Drosophila melanogaster: one gene and its partner. Changing the gene in region 1 together with any one later gene gives a genetic interaction. Each region holds a gene or a part of one and is shown in the gene's direction. Other genes may lie near its edges.

Region 1 (5,388 bases):
CCCAAGTAGCGCTATAAATAGTAAAAAAGTCTATATATATAAATATACACATATGTGGCTATGGCTATGGCTAGCTGCAAAATCAAAAGTTGTTCGGAATCGTAAATGGAACAAACGCTCCTCTCGAGTTATAAATATATTTGGGAATATACCTATGCCATCCGTATGCCTAGATGATCTGTCCACCGTTTTGAAGGTGAACTCTGCAGGATTACATAATGCGGACTCTGAGCAGCAGCATCAGGAGCAGCCCCCTAATTCCCCTCGTCCCCTCTCAAATAAATGCACGTAAAACGGCAAGCAAATAATTAAGTATTAGAAATGTTCAGCTGGGGAGAATTCCGCGGAAAGTGCGATGGCAAAAACTACAGCATGTTGCAGTTGTTCCCAGCTGGCCAGAAGCCTCCAAGAGAAGCCAAGAGTTCTCCTCCAGACAGGCTGACGATTGCCTAGAAAGACAGCCGCACTGGAGCCAGCGGACTCCTACTGCCGGTGGAGGAGAAAACGGCGGAGAAAGAGGGCCTGGATGGCTGCAGACGCTGAAGAGCCCAGCCTGCAGCCAACTAACCAATTAGTAAGCGCTGCACAGAACGCGTCTACAATTGTGAGAACCTCAGACCAGGCTTGCAGGCCAACAAGTCAACAAGCCAAGAAGCCAACAGCCAGCAGGCCGTGTGAGTATGATGAAATGTCAGCAGGACCAGAAGCTGCATCGAAATGCACTCGGAGAAATACTTAGCAAACAACTAAAACCAAATTACACAATAAAAAAGTGTCACAGAGCTAGAGATGCATATGTCATATGACCCATCTGTAAACCTAATCCATATAAAATACGGAATTATTAGGAATGCGTGGGGATCATCAAACTTCATCTTTATTTATTGTTCTTTCTTTTCGCAGTCTTGGGGAAATGGGAATACAAGTGGAAGGCATCATTCAGATTCAAGTGACCCAAGTGGCATCCGTTTTCCCGTAGTGTCCAGAAGACCTGGTGCCCGCTGCGTGGATCGATCCTTATATGATCCGCTGGCAGCGGCAAACGTTCTATTTTGACAGTCATTATGATTAATTTAAATCATTAGGCAGCCCGGGCAGGTAGACAAACCATCGAGCTCCTATATTCCATCTAATTAAATGCGAGAGGAGCGGAGCTGCAGTTGGCTGTGGTCCTGGTCCTGGTGCTTGATCGGAGTCGACCTCGGAGTCGGAGTCGTGGAGCTGGACACGGGACCTGGACTGGCTTATTCGCGGAAGAGACAAGCTGGCGACAACGACACCGATGGCTGGAAAAGGCAACGATGACCATTTGCAGCTGGGGAATGCATCATCTTCGATCGCGGATCGGGGCGCAGTGAGTGTATCGATTTATCTGCGCTTACTATATACATATCTGCTGCTATCTGCTAGTCGCTGCACGTGGCCATGCCCACTCCGCCCCTTTGCCCATTCCGCGAACCTCTATTTAAGGACATGGCGAAATACTCGTGCTCCTGTGTACAAGTGGGCCCACCACGCAAATCCTCTAGAGCATTCTGACCATATTGGCGGGGCTAAGAAATTCCTGGCATAGTTTAAGTGTATCGCTTTTTGTTGCTGCGCCCGGGCACTCAAGATGCCCGCAAAGCTCAGCCTGCGAAATGTCGCAAAAGAAATTACAAAATCAGCAATAAGAAAATCAGAAAATCACAAAATCAGAAGATCACAAATTAACTAAATTAACAGCGCTGATAAGGCGAAACGCCACGTATGTAATTACCGAACTCAACCACGAGTTTTCAAGGGGAGGAGCCAATGAGCCACCCAGCCATATGAATCCCAAATCCACGATCTATGTGTGCGCATGCGCAGCGAATGGGTATGCATATGGGGGCGTGGCCATCTAATTAATTAAGCCATAAAGCCAGCAAAATGAACGACGGCAGCAGGAAGACGCCGAACGGGGGTGGGGATTGGGTCGGGGAATGGGGGATTGGGGTTTGTTTTTATGTACTCCGTACTCTTCGCGTTCGAAATCGAAGAGAGCGCGGCGCTCTTAGGAAAAGAGGAAACCGGTTCGCCCAAGTTTGGAATATCGAGCGAACATCGTTGGTGGAAATACGCTGAAGTTTATTAGGTATTTGCACGCCATCTGAAGAACAACGAACGCCAGCTATCGATCGCAAGTTTAGCCCGTCGAATCGTTTCGAATTCGTATTTGGAATGAACCACAATAAAATCGCCACAAATAAAGTAAACAGTCCAAACAAGTGCCTAGCGACAAATAAGCAAACCAACTGCAACGCATACGGAACAAACAAAAACACAAATATTTCCCATAACTGCACTAAATCTACGAAGTCGAAACAAAGTTAGGCGTATTTTTTTTACCAGAAACACTTAAACAATTTTTACAAAAAACGGATATTAATGCAATCAGTTCGAGACAAGCAGACAGCAAGCGGAAGACTTAAGGAGATAACAACTTATAGAGGCCATAATCAAAGGAATAAAGCACCATCAGCCAGCGATGAGAAGGAACGTCTTCAATGATAAACCTTCGAAAACTTTTAGAAAATAGCAAACATCCCAATAAACCACAACAATTATAAAACGCGAGAAAGGATTTGGTAAATCATCTAAAACCAGTTCAACAAACAACACATATAGTAAACATTAAATATTAAATCACAAGTTTTAGAAGGCAAACAAAGATAAAAACTCTTAACACCAGTTAAATAAAATATACTAAAAGAACTGCAACCAAAAAATAACATACAATTAAATGAAATTAAAAGCCATAAAGAAACTTAAAGCCATTGGAAACAAGCCATAAAAGCGGTCCAGAACCTAAATATTAAACACAAACCAAAATTCAAATTCCGCGCCAAACGACCACACTGCGCAACACACGAGCGCTGCATCCCTGGACTTCAGCCGCATTCCAACACTGCAGGACTGTCAGCTGTCAGTTTTCCTGTGTGTGTGCGCGCGTAAGTGTGTGCGTGCACTTAAGAAACTTAAATTCGCGTTCTTGGCCAAAAAAAACCCGGGTTTTTAATAAGTTATAGCGTTTTCCTCGACTGAGAACTTGGCCCCCAGGCAGACGGGCACAAAAACCGCCCCAGAAACGCGCCCGCCGCCGCCAAAAAGGCCGAAAACGCCAGCGAAACGCGCGCGTTGAGTGTTTTCTGTGTGGTTTTATTTTTGGAATATAAAGCGATCTGATCTGAAAAGTGTGCCGCGGCCGGATTCTAGATATTCAGATTCCCAGCACCCGAAACCCAAACGCAATAATAGACGCGCGCGGTGCCTTGGATCTCTACGGCTCCACGGTGGAGAACTTTTACCTCAGAATGGATCCGACGCGAGGTGACTCGCGGTACAATCTCAACTACTCGATGAGTAGCATAGGGCTGAGCCTGGCGGATCCGGCGGACATGTACGGCAACCCGGCCCTGGGGGCGGGCCGCCCGCCCTCCGGTGGCCTGCTCCAGAACATGGGCGGCGTTCCGCCGATGCAGCGCCCCAATCCCGCGGCAGGAGCACCCCCTGCCCCGCAGTGCCAAACGCTCCACAGCCCACAGCACGCCTCCCAGCAGCAGCAGCAGCAACAACAGCAGCAGCAGCAACACCAGCAGCAGCAACAACAGCAGCAGCAGCATCCCCAGCAGCAACGCGGCCTTAAGCGCTCCGGCAGCGACTGCTACGAGGATCACCACCGCTCGTCCGGCGGACTCACCCTCCAAGGACTGGACAACGTGGCCAGCGGAGCCGTCGACGACAGCGTAGACAACTACAACCCGCTGCCCAACAAGAAGTCTCCGCCTGCCAACGGCAAAAAGACAAAGGGACGTGTCAAAATCAAAATGGAATACATCGACAATAAGCTGCGTCGCTACACGACCTTCTCCAAGCGCAAGACGGGCATAATGAAGAAGGTAAGATCGCTGGAGCACCCCTACGCCATCCCCATCCCCAACGATATTTTCAACCCAACCCCGAAACCGAAATCGATCCCCATCCCAATCCCCATTCCAGCCACGATTGGCGCTGCAATTGGGATGTTGACATCGGGCCACGTTTCCAGCGCATGTGCAATTAATAAATGCTTCAGGGATTCAGTTGCGACGGAATCCAGCAGTTCCCCCACATCTCTGGCATTGTTCTGCCTCCGGAAAGAGCGAGGATTTATTGTCAATTGGCCATCGGCACAGTGGTCGGGATAGCTGGCGCACAATAGGAGAACCATCTCGGAATATCAAGTACCCAATGGATATATCCAACAGTTAGACCATTTGTGTACATTACTCGTCAGTTCAAATATTCAAATCTTTCTCTTGTGTCCATTACCAATTATTAGTTCCACTTGGAAGTATGTTTATTGGACCAATACAAATTCTGCTTGGAAATTGCTTATAGGCCACCTTATGTTGGGATCCCAAACCTAATGCTAAACAATTTGATTTAAGACTCAAAAACCCGAACCACTGTGCCCGCGAAGTACCTCTGCTCATCTCTAGAACAGTAGCCGCAGATCCTCTGCTTTTGGCCAGATCGCGTCTGTTTGGCCAACTGTTGGCCGCTTTGGCGGCGTTGTGTAAGCGCGGTAGCCCACGATTCCGCGTTGCCTTTGTTTTCGGCTTCATAAAATGTTAATTTGCCGCCGCAATTGCATTCAAAGGAGGCTCCTGCCCACGGAGCACTCCTCCCCCGAAACAATTGATGCGTGCTCCTTGTGGATGGTGGCCCACAAGTCGCTGCAACTGGCAACGTTGCCTTGGCATTTTCAAATGACCAATTTTCACACGCAAACTTACATAATGCCACTGCATTAGCTCCTGCTGCTTTCCATCGATCTGGGGGCCGTATATGAAATTTTTCACATTTCTGAAATAGACTTCCCTGGCCACTAGCTGAACCAAGCCCCGATCAAAATCAGACAAAAAGCATCAACATCGCGGCGCTAAATCACGATCTCAGCACGATCTTTGCCCAAGACACAAAATCTTATGAAATATTTGACCCAAGCAGACCAAAAACAAAGACGTTGGAGCACTTAAATTTAAAAGGGGAGATTTGGGAAAACGTTTAGCTTGTTGTACGCTAGAATGGCAATAAAATGTCAAGTATAAACTAAATGTTTAATAAGTTTAATTTATTTACTGAAGTTTATTTACTTTCATTATTAAGTCGCAAAGTAACTTATGATTCTTGAATTAGAGGAAGTGAGCAACCCAAACCTGTTAAACTGTTCCTCTTTACCCAATCTCAGTTGATCCCGAAATGGTGTTTCCTTATCGGTGAGGGTATCCAAAACATTTGACCCCTGGGACGTGGATTCTCGGGGCCGAGCTTATGACAGGCGCACGCCCGGGACAAAAGGCCGCTTCCATAATATGCGTTCCA
Region 2 (4,953 bases), on another chromosome or scaffold:
TTATGGGCGAATATATGTATATATCCGAATGACTTTTGATTTTGGCTTTGTTTATGGCCGCGCTGCCGCTGGATGTTGATTTTGTCTTAGCCAAGTTTAGCTTGTCGGTTTTGTTTGTTGTTGTTGCTGAATTGCGTTGTTGCTATTGTTGCTGAATTTTGAATTGAACATATACAACATACAGATTGTACACGATTGTTAAAAAGTTGCAACTGTAAAAATAAAAACAAAAAATATTGGTCACATCGGGCACTATTTTTTTTCTCGAGATTTTTGGATTTGCGCGCGCCAGAGAATGAGTGTGGCGTAAAGAGAGGGAGAAAGAGTAAAATCCCCAGCGACAAATGTAACGTAACCCACAACGTAAGCGTCTTCTGTACGTCACCACGCTACGTAGGCCACGTAACGGTATGCTAACGTTACCGACGGCGCCGCAAAACCGCAAAATCAAAAAATACAATAACAAAATCGACAAAATTATAGATTTTCAATGTGCACGTCGGTTTCTTTTTGCTAGCGAAAATCAACTAGCGCTAGTATATTTTGCTTTTGTTTTTTCTCATTTCGAGTGAAACTTTTCGCGCGCTTCTGCGTGTGTATTCCTCTTTTTTCGTTTTTTCTTCTTTTATTTGTTAATATTATTCACTTGGTGACTACACACGTTCATGCTCATGCCCCCTCACTCGACACACACACGCACACACACTGACGAACGTTTCTGCTTCTTGCTCCTCTTTCGTTCGCTTTTGTTCCACCACCGAAAAAAATGAAAAAAAAAATTTGTCATGTCCATTGAAGTCTCACATTTTTCAAATGCATTTTTTGGCGCTAAAATCTTATAAATTTCAACATTTTTCCATTCGCATCTGATCCCCCGCAATTAGCACTCCACTTCGAACACAAATTTATATAATTTTTGCCATTTTTTACCACAATTTTTAGTAATTTCTACACACCGATATATACGTACGCGCTACGATTTTTCGACAAACGCGCGAGTTTCTTCTGAGTCGCCATCAAATATACAAAATTTTTTTTCGAAATTACTGAAAATGCGAATACACACGCACACATGGACAGCCGACGGGCACGAGGCGCACGCGCTTGGTACATGCGGCTATGCCGCTCTAACGCACTGCTTTTATTGATAAATCGAGAGCGGGACAGCTAGAGCTACCGGCCGAGAGAGAGCATGTGAGAAGAGCGTTCTGTGCGAGTGTGTGTGATAGAGAGAGCCAGAGAGCAAAGTAGTCACACATACTCTCGCAAACTCATAGTGGCTTTCGTTCTCTCCTTTTCTCAACCATTTGCACGTACTTTTAGCTTTTTCATATGGCTATTTGGGAAATTCACCAGCAGTTTACACTTATGCTGTTGTTAGTTTTAATCCATTTATACTGGTAGAACGTAGATTCGTCGGCTACTTTACATTAATTTCGTAACGTAAGCGCAACAAAAACAAGGCTGTCATCGATATAAGCAGGCGTTTTTGTCTGAAACTATCGTGCAATAAGTGACTCCGATAACCAGAGTTCCTTTACGTGTTTCTCGATTACTTATCGGATTGTGTTTGCGAGCACAAATGTCTCTTTTAGCGGAGACACAGTCCTCCAAAACTGTGCAACACTGTTCCTAGGCTCGGTGTGACCAGAGCTATTTAACAACACTGGCGAACATCGGATGGCAAATATCGAAAGAACATTGACTGTTGTTCCACCCCCTGCTGACACCATCTGGTAACACTGAACAACAGACCAGATCCGCGGACAAAGCAAAGCAGTAAATATTAATTTAATCCAAATCCAATTCCCGACACCAATTGGCGGCCTTCAGCTGCTGCTTCTGCAGTCGAATTGTATTTTTTTTTTTGGTTTTTCGTGTCACCCGATAAGAGTTAAATTCGCTGATCTAGCGAATAACGGTGGCAAGTAATTGTAATAACTGCGTGTGTGCACAGTGCTAGTGTTTAGTGTGCGAGTGTGTGCGTGTGAGTGGGAACTCCACAAGTGTGCGAGAAGGCAAATCAAAATAAGAAAAGTGCCGCCCTGATGGAAATTAATATCGCGAATTATCAGCGAAAACGCAGCGAAAGTTAAGCCAAAGTGCTGCGATTAATCAGATAGCGGGTGAAATAGTGGGTATTACGTAAGAAATCAATGGATTCCGGGCTGCATTTGCCCAAAAAAAGAGGAAGCAATATCGAAGCGCTACTTTTATCTCCTCTTTTTTCGATGATTTCATTCGCAGTGACGACACACAGGCACGCACACACCGAACGCCGTATCTGTGTGTGGGTTGTTTGTTGAGCTAAAAAAAATAATGAATCCTCACGATACATTCACTCGTTTCATTTTTTTTGTTATTATTATTCATCATATTTATTTATTTCTTTGAGTGTGCATATCGGCGACTTCGCGACGCCAATTGCTGATTACGCCCCCTCCCTTTTCAGTGCAACTTCCCCACCCCGGAGATCTTGCACTCGAACTAAAAATCGAGTAGAGTACGTAGGCAGAAGCGAAAAGAGCGTACAAAAATCAAGAGCTCAGTGGCAGCAGCAGGAATTTGTGTTTGTCAGGGGATTGCCCAGATTTTCGGGGTAATTGTCCACTTTATAAACAGCCAACCGAATTTGAAACCAACTGTAACTGGAAGTAAAAACCAATTTTACCAAAGCTATCAAAAAAAAAACAATAAAAAAAATGAAATCCTCTGCGCGCCGCTGGTTTAACCAGTACGCCCACATGTGGGCGGCCCAGATGTGCCTCGTTTTTGGCCCAATGGCTGTGGGCGTCCATCCGTGGTTGAAACTATGCGCTGCAGATGCTGTTTACTCAGGCGGTTTATAGTATTACGAATTTGCTAGCTAAAAAACTGATTAAAACTACTACTAAGTGCACAACTCATAACTTTGATATGCTGTGACTGGGTGTATAAATGATAATCGAATGAAATTATTCAATCCAAGGGTATATAAACATGGGCTTAGTCGTTTTTAGTTTGTTTTCCTTTCGGCACACGATCTGCTGCAAATCAAGCTCTGTGGTGTGTTAGTGTTCGTTGTGTTGTGTGTGCGTGGGCGTTTAAAAATAGCCGACCAACACAACACCCATACGTATACGTAATCTGCAGCCCTTTTTTTTCCGTTCCGTGCATATGGAATTTTGATTTGAGTCTTGAGTGGCTTGGAGTGAGTGATTCATGTGGCTTTAGGCGGAAAGGAAACCCAGCGAAGCTGACTCAATGACCACTCATTGTTCGTTCGGCCTTTGTTTACATTTTGCCAGGAGCCAAGAGAGCGAGAGAGCGTGCTAACGGAACGTGCTCGAATGAGTAATTCGCATTGCATTTGACGTTTATCGAAAGCTCTCTTCCTTCCGCTTTTTTCCTTTTCTTTTCGGAGGCCAACAAAAAAAAACAACAAAAGCACGCAGGCACGCACACCCACACACAAGTTCGTACATCAATCGCTTGGTGTGTGTGTGTGTTTGTGAGATGAGTCATCTGGCCAAGTTGATGAGAAAATAAAATTAAACATTAAGGTAGAGCGAAAGAAACAACAAAAAAAGGGGACAGATGTGCGGCCATTTGCTGTTGTTTGTTGTTGCAATAAAGAAAAAAGCAGGGCACGCGGAGAAAGCAGTGCTCGACAAGCAGTGCAGTCAGCAGCTGGACTTTTACGTACACCGGCGTTCGTAAAAATTGCAGCGAAATCGAAGAAATCAAATTGTGTCTTAAAAATAAATGAAAGATTAAGGCATATAAAAAAAAATAATATAAAATATGTAGCATTAGAAATATAAGTGAACCAGGAATGGCTTTTATAATAATTTCTGCCCCTTACTTAACATCTAGTGCTAAATCCAACAATTTTAATTCACTTACCATTGCAGCCGGCGCACAGAAGCGACAGAGACAGAGCACACACAGCACCTGGCACATCCAAGGATATCCGATCCTCCTGCATCCCGAATCATCCACAACCTGCACCAACCGCTAACCGCCAAAGCCATGATCCTCGAGAGAAACCGGAGGTGCCAGCTGGCCCTCCTCATGATCGCAATACTGGCCGCCATCGCTGGACAAACGGATGCCCAGAAGGCGGCCAAACTGACGGCAGTGAGCACATGTGCATCGAAGGAAAAGTGTCACACCTGCATCCAGACAGAGGGTTGCGCCTGGTGCATGCAGCCGGACTTTAAGGGCCAGTCGCGGTGCTACCAAAACACCAGCTCACTGTGTCCGGAGGAGTTCGCCTACAGTCCGATAACAGTTGAGCAGATTCTAGTGAACAACAAACTAACGAATCAATACAAAGCTGAACTGGCGGCTGGTGGCGGCGGCTCCGCCATGTCCGGCAGCAGCTCAAGCTCCTACTCGTCGAGTTCGAGCTCGTCGAGCTTCTACTCGCAGAGCTCCTCGGGATCCAGTTCCGCCAGCGGATACGAAGAGTACTCTGCCGGCGAAATTGTCCAAATCCAACCGCAGTCCATGCGACTCGCATTGCGCGTCAGTGAGTAGCAAACGATTGCATCATCCATGTGACCTACAAACTAATCCCTTACTTGCTTATCAATACACCTTAGATGAGAAACACAACATCAAGATTAGCTATTCCCAGGCGGAGGGATATCCGGTGGATCTCTACTACTTGATGGATCTCTCCAAATCTATGGAGGACGACAAGGCCAAATTGTCTACGCTGGGCGACAAGTTGTCCGAGACCATGAAACGCATCACCAACAATTTCCATCTTGGTTTCGGTTCGTTTGTGGACAAGGTGCTCATGCCCTATGTCTCGACCATTCCCAAAAAGTGAGTATGACCTACATAAATGTGAAGGAAAACCATGAATTGGAAATAGTTCTACAAATTTTGCTGATTGAAGATGATGCCAGATGCCGTCAGTTGATGGTGCATTTCTTTAAGGCCTATTAAATTATTGTATTTATA

What was found. A genetic interaction does not mean that the proteins touch.
Region 2: of bs (region 1) and mys, changing one enhances a phenotype caused by changing the other (phenotypic enhancement), as found in Drosophila melanogaster (4 studies listed by BioGRID).

Annotation. Positions count from the first base shown.
Region 1 is NT_033778.4:24,340,755-24,346,142, forward strand, and holds the start of bs (blistered), read left to right. Parts: upstream 1-2,106; 5' UTR 2,107-3,335; coding exon 3,336-3,920; intron 3,921-5,388. UniProt on the Drosophila melanogaster protein: Required for the formation of intervein tissue of the wing. Acts in a dosage-dependent manner to suppress wing vein formation and promote development of intervein cells. Might play a role in the proper formation and maintenance of the trachea.
Region 2 is NC_004354.4:8,059,947-8,064,899, forward strand, and holds the start of mys (myospheroid), read left to right. Parts: upstream 1-1,698; 5' UTR 1,699-1,779; exon of another isoform or gene 1,780-2,134; intron 2,135-3,893; 5' UTR 3,894-4,011; coding exon 4,012-4,513; intron 4,514-4,586; coding exon 4,587-4,815; intron 4,816-4,953. UniProt on the Drosophila melanogaster protein: Integrin alpha-PS1/beta-PS is a receptor for laminin. Integrin alpha-PS2/beta-PS is a receptor for Tig, wb and Ten-m. Contributes to endodermal integrity and adhesion between the midgut epithelium and the surrounding visceral muscle.